Linked DNA regions of Xenopus tropicalis. The protein of the gene in region 1 binds, or shares a complex with, the protein of each later gene. Links are inferred from orthologs where the notes say so. Each region holds a gene or a part of one and is shown in the gene's direction. Other genes may lie near its edges. The genes, in order: raf1 and rap1a.

Region 1 (2,520 bases):
TTGGGTGCTGTGGGGCAGGATGGGGGAGCAGTTGTTTGGTGCCTGGGGGGCAGTTACTTTCTGCTTATGTACTTGGGTACCATGATATCCCGCTCGGAGCCAGTAATGACTCCTGTGACTGGGCATTGGTCACTGTGCAGCATGTGACCTTGTCAGAGCTCAGTTGTGGGCCTTGATTCGCTGGACAGATATCTTTCTCCATGAGGGGTTAACCGTGAAAATCGGAGACTTTGGATTGGCCACGGTAAAGAGCAGGTGGAGCGGTTCCCAGCAGGTGGAGCAACCGACAGGCTCCATACTGTGGATGGTAAGGATGGGGCTCTGTAATACAGGGCTACTTGTGGGCAACTTGTAGGGACTGCCCGGGTACAGCTCATATGGGGGCACTGGGAGGGGCACTGGGAGGGGCTTCTGTTTTACCTGGAGCATTTAGAGAGTGGCGGTTCATTCTTTGTATCTGGCCTATGGGAGAGAGGGGGCTGAGCTGTGTCTGCCTCTGATTGGATATAGTTGCCCTGTGATGTGGCCCTTACAGGGGCAGAACAGATATTGGGCCCATTTCTACCCAATAAACACAGGATTATTTGTTCCATTTGTGTCACTGGGTTTCTGCATCTACTTTTAGGACTGAGCTTTTAGGTCACATTCATAATATGGGGCGGGGAATTGCTGGCCACGCCCCCAAGCAGATGGGCTGTCTCTCCTTTTACTTAGGGGCTGTGACGAATCAGAGGCTGCCTTTCCTTCTTGGGGGGCACAAGGTTTAAGGCACCCCCACCTGTGGATGCCATAGTTACTGTATGTTCCACTGCATTAACCACTAAATGCCCAAGGTTTGTAGTTAAACTGCCCCCTGTCTGCCCCACAGGCCCCAGAAGTGATCCGCATGCAGGACAATAACCCCTTCAGCTTCCAGTCGGACGTCTATTCCTATGGGATCGTGCTGTTTGAGCTTATGACCGGGGAGCTGCCCTACTCCCACATTAGGGACAGGGACCAGGTGAGTGACACCTACACTGTGCGCATCAAGGACTACTTGCCCTTTAATTGACTATTATAGTGCATACGGTAATAATCTCAGGCAATTTGCATTTGGCCTTTATTTTGTATTTATTGTGATTTTAGGACTTTCAGCAGCTCTCAAATTTGGAATTTTAGCAGCTGTCTGGTTGATAGGGTCAGATTTCCCCTAGCAACCAGGCAGTGATGTGACTGGGAGATGAATAAGAATAGGACTGAATGTAAAGAAAAGGTCTAAACTGGAGTCGCACAGAGCAATAGGCTTTTGGCTGCCGGGGTCAGTGACCCCTACTTGAAAGCTGGAAAGAGGCAGAAAAGGAAAGCCTTTCCAAAACTATAAAGACCAATTGAAAAGTTGCTAAGAGTGGGACCTGATCAATTACATTGTAGAAGTTTCCTTAGAGGAACACTGTACCCCCACACTGAGCCCCCAGAGCGTTTATATCATAATATGGGGCCAGTGACAGACTCCCCAAACTGCCTAACACCCATAAACATTGCCCTTGCCCCCCTGTTTTGTGCTGTGCTCCCCCAGAGATCACCTGACAGGAAGTAGTGTGGGAATAAGAGACCGATCTCTGCCCATTCATTGGCTGATGTGGCCTAGCCTGTGTGTGTGCCCTGTGAATGGTATAGTGCCCGGGGCGGACACACCAGTCTGTATGAAAATGGTTTCTTTAGATGAAGCACGGGAGTTACGTTATTTGGGGGTTTAGTTTCCCTTTAAAGGTCAACTGCCCCCTTCAAGGTTCCTTTTAAAAGGAAACATTTAATTTAGGAACTCCCAGCACCCCTGATGGATTCCTAATGTATTACTTGTTCAGGAGGCTTCTGGCTCTGCTTGCTGAGAAGCACCCCCTACCTACCTACCTACCTACCCTTCCTGGATACGACTTACCCCTCTCCTGTGCCACTGCTCACAGCCCAGTAACTTCTTTCCTTTGCTCTTAGATAATATTTCTGGTTGGACGAGGAGGGACGGTCCCCGACCTGAGTAAGCTCTACAAGAACTGCCCCAAGGCAATGAAGCGTCTCGTGGCCGATTGTATCAAAAAAATGCGGGAGGAGCGCCCCCTATTCCCTCAGGTGAGGTGCATAGACCTGCATTGCTCTATTGTACAGTGCCCCCCAATGTCTGGGTACTGTATCTGTAACCTTGTTATGGGCTAAGGGGGCCCAGCCTGAAGGCCAGTTAGGGGGGGATTTGGGGTGAGTGGGTATTTGTGCCCTGGGTACCCCTGGAACTATAGCGGGGTGACTGTTACCCCAATGTTTCTATATATCTGTAACCTTGTTATGGGCTAAGGGGGCCCAGCCTGAAGGCCAGTTAGGGGGGGATTTGGGGTGAGTGCTTATTTGTGCCCTGGGTACCCCTGGAACTATAGCGGGGTGACTGTTACCCCAATGTTTCTATATATCTGTAACCTTGTTATGGGCTAAGGGGGCCCAGCCTGAAGGCCAGTTAGGGGGGATTTGGGGTGAGTGCTTATTTGTGCCCTG
Region 2 (3,830 bases), on another chromosome or scaffold:
GCAGTAGCCCAGTACAGCCTATGCCAGACAGTTGTTTAACTTACATGATCATTATTGGAGTGAGCTGTGTGGAGCTGTAGGTTGCCGACTTGGTCCCTTTTTTCCTCCTTGTACAGTCAGTTGTTAAAAAAAAAAAATCCAGCTATCAACACAGGACTTCTGTTTCATAAGGAGTTATTTTGTGAAATGGTGAAGGAAACAAGTGGAACTTCATCTATTTTCAACTACTTTGCAGCTTTAAAGTATACTTATTTATCAAAGTTACATTAATCTGGGTCCAATAAGAGGTTTCAAAGCTAAGGCTAGTTCCACATGGAGCTGATTCCTCTGGCTGCCCTTCGTCTGTACCCACAGGCACTGTCAGCCTAGGTGCTAATACATGGAATGGATGTCAGACATGCACGTGACCAAGGATTTTTGCAGTGAAAGCCGCTCTGTTTGTCTAAGCAACACATTAAAATCCTCTAGAGCAGAAGGGTGGTTGTTTTTTTTTTTTTCTCACAAAATGTTAGACTTTTACTGTACGTGCTGTAAGCTCCTAAAATACTAAAACTAAATACATTGTTTTTTCATCTCTAGACTACACTATTGTGAAACAAAAATAATCCCATCATGCGCGAGTACAAGCTCGTGGTCCTTGGTTCTGGAGGTGTTGGAAAGTCTGCTTTGGTAAGTTGAGCTTTCCATATGTATATTTGGCCATGTCATAATTAACTTACATAATACAGCCAATTAGCCCATATAAAAATAATTACTCTTTAAAGGGGAATAGGTTAATATCTATCATGGTTTGATGTAGCCTATTATTAACGAGACGTATAGCTTAAATGAAAATCCACCCTAAACTTGTAGGCAGTAATGAATAATATATGGTGCTGATTTCACTCTGGGCTTAAAATGATCATTTTCCTTAAAAACGAACCCTTTATTGGAGTTTCTATAGATCTGCTACATCCCTGTGATGTTTCATATAAGGAGTTGGGCGTGTTCTAATGGTCCCTGCCAAAAGAGCTATAGGAGGAGGATAGCCAATCACAGCTCTGCAGTCACACAATACAGGCTTAAGTTCCCTATCAGGTCCACTTACCTGCTGATTCCTATCCTACAGTGCTGAGTGCTGCCGGTCCCCCTGCACATCCAGAAAAAGCAGGAAACACACATTTTTTAAAGCACATTTCTTCAGTATTTAGACAAGTATAATGCACTGGCACATTCTCGTTTTTACACAATATTTACCTTTTAATAAAAGCTCGGATACGGCCTGTGTTGTATTGTAAAATAAAGTAAAGATGAAAGAATAGACTATAATAGACAAAAATTCCAGTTGTTTGTAAGAGGGGTTGTTGTAATAATTTCATAGCTGAAATTACTTCACACTTTAGTTTTGCAAAACTTTAAGCAGTGGGCTGAAATACAGATCTAGAGATTGTACTTGCCACAAGAAATGTTCATGGTCCTCACACCAGAACACCTGTTCTATAAGGTGTAGTTTAGTAAAGCTCTCATGGCAAAATTAAATTCTAAGATGCCCAGCACAGAGAGATGCTCCTTGGCTTGTACCCCCAGCATTTTATAAATGGCTGATATCCCCCGCCCCCAGTTAATGGGGTTTATTTTTAGCTGCTGCAGGTGATGTGGTTAAACATGTCTGTTGTGTAATTTTCTTCATACATTTTATTTCTCTACAGACAGTCCAGTTTGTTCAAGGTATTTTTGTGGAAAAGTATGACCCAACAATAGAAGATTCATACAGAAAGGTAATACCTATTTTAAATGTACTAACATGTTTACATATTCTGTATTAGTGTTTATTACTTTACATTAAATAAATTGTTAGTTTTAAAATATTACCTATTTTCCACCTAAAGAAGCAGGAAGCATACCTCTCATTCACATTAAATTTACTTTCCAGTACCTCTACAGTTTGTTTGTTTTTTGTAACAAATTTGCTTATTTGCTTTGTATATAGTTTATTTGCTTTTATATATTGTATTTTTGCTTTTGTATTTGTCCATTGTATAGCCAGCCTCTATCCACATAGCTCCATGCGGATGTGGTCCTCACACCGACAGGAAAATCAAACCAACCAGATATTGGTCGGGTAGGCTGTTGGTAAGCCCCATACATGGGCTAACAAGTTTCCAAGGTCAAAAGCTGCCAGTGTATGGCAACTTTTACTTGTTCACCTCTGTGTTAAAGGAAATAAAAGACACATGGCCACAAACTGAGAGGAAGCCTTCAACTCACAGATGCCATTTCCCCACTCCAGCATCTTAGGCTGGCAGAGTCAGCCACTTCCTGTTGAAATATAAAATTCTGGGACTTGAAGTCCCTCGGCTTTCCAGAGAGTCTGTGCTTGCCCCTCCTATATCTTCTACTTCTCATTGTATAGTACAAAGCTAAGCATGATCAGTGGTCCTTATCTAAAATATTCACATTAAGTAGATACTGATCGACCTCAGCCTCTTCCTTTTGTCATTCTCTGTCAGAAGTCAGCTGTCTGTAAAAGCCTACTGATGCATTTTTGGGCACCTTTAGCATGACAAGTACTCGCCATGTAATTTCAACACAAGTCTGTGGGGGTAGTGCTCAGTGTCAAAATAATATCTGTACATGATTTAGTGCATATACATTGTGCTTCTTGATGCTAGCTGCTTTGGGAACCCAACATCAGTAGGTGTGCATGTGCCATATTTACAATAGGAGGCAGGACAGACACAGTGCAACTATGCAAATGTCATTCAATGCAAGTAATTTTAATGAATAGTGTAATTTCACACAGAAATAATCTGTCACTGCTTTTGATTAAAAAAAAAAAACAATGGAAATGCTGTGCCAACTTCTTCCAAAGGCGGAGCTCTTCCCAAGCTTTTCAGTTAGAAGCAGACGGTCGGAATGCCTCATTTCATAGCCTTGGACTTGAATGCATGACTTTAAAATAATGGGCCATGGTGTAATAGGAGGTACCCAAGTAGAAAAATGTCTACAACTTTTTCAAACATAAAAGGAACAATATACACCTGTGTTCATTAAGAACAAATTAAAGAGCTGTTTTTCCCTTACATCAGTGCATTTAAGGGAAAAAACTGACACTGCACAGCTATTTTACATTTTGCTGCCCAAGTAAGATTGCAGTTTAGTGTCAGTTTTTCTCTAGGCCGGTGCATTTCTTAATTTAAAAAATGTTTAACCTGTTATTTGAACTCCTATAGTATACATAGGTGTATAGTGCCCCCTGTCAAAAATATCTGTAAAGCTATGCACACTATTGTAACTAAAAAGAAACACTTTTTAGTTTGATGTAAGTTGATGTGCGAATGTGGGGTGTACAGCGATATAGATTTCTCCATTTGTGACACTCAAAGGGTTAATGCACTCACTTAAAGCTGTAGCAAATATGAAAAGACCTACTACATGAATAGCAGCATTTACAAGACTGTTCATAATTTGGTCAGATATAAAAAAAAAAAATCTTTATAATTTTTTTATTTCTTGTAGTTAGTATAAAAATATTATTGTTGTGAAGTCTTGTATTACATAATGTTTGAAATTAACCAAGATGCATTTTGTTTGAATTGCAGCAAGTGGAAGTGGAAGGACAGCAATGTATGCTTGAAATCCTTGATACAGCTGGAACAGTAAGGAATTTTTCTTTCTAACAAAAATTAAAATTAATTTGGCATTATAATAGGCTGTATTTGCCTAATCAATGCAAGGGCCACATTGTGCTCTTTGTCTGATGAGTCTGCACAGACTTGGGTAGCCAAATGATTAGATGAGCCTGATTTCGCTTATACGGTGGTTTAGTTTTATATAAAAGTAACCTAAAA

What was found.
Region 2: the proteins of raf1 (region 1) and rap1a are in contact, whole or in part, in a crystal structure (PDB 3KUC), measured with the Homo sapiens proteins. The link is inferred for Xenopus tropicalis from reciprocal best matches to the Homo sapiens genes RAF1 and RAP1A. Residues at the interface, in NP_001341619.1 of Homo sapiens: Thr57, Arg59, Asn64, Lys65, Gln66, Arg67, Thr68, Val69, Val70, Lys84, Lys87, Val88, Arg89, Gly90; in NP_001010935.1 of Homo sapiens: Val21, Gln25, Ile27, Val29, Asp33, Pro34, Ile36, Glu37, Asp38, Ser39, Tyr40, Arg41.

The regions. Positions count from the first base shown.
Region 1 is NC_030680.2:153,469,505-153,472,024, forward strand, and holds part of raf1 (RAF proto-oncogene serine/threonine-protein kinase), read left to right. Parts: intron 1-188; coding exon 189-307; intron 308-868; coding exon 869-1,000; intron 1,001-1,971; coding exon 1,972-2,106; intron 2,107-2,520. UniProt on the Homo sapiens protein: Serine/threonine-protein kinase that acts as a regulatory link between the membrane-associated Ras GTPases and the MAPK/ERK cascade, and this critical regulatory link functions as a switch determining cell fate decisions including proliferation, differentiation, apoptosis, survival and oncogenic transformation.
Region 2 is NC_030678.2:59,474,081-59,477,910, forward strand, and holds part of rap1a (ras-related protein Rap-1A), read left to right. Parts: intron 1-579; 5' UTR 580-612; coding exon 613-669; intron 670-1,688; coding exon 1,689-1,757; intron 1,758-3,581; coding exon 3,582-3,638; intron 3,639-3,830. UniProt on the Homo sapiens protein: Counteracts the mitogenic function of Ras, at least partly because it can interact with Ras GAPs and RAF in a competitive manner. Together with ITGB1BP1, regulates KRIT1 localization to microtubules and membranes.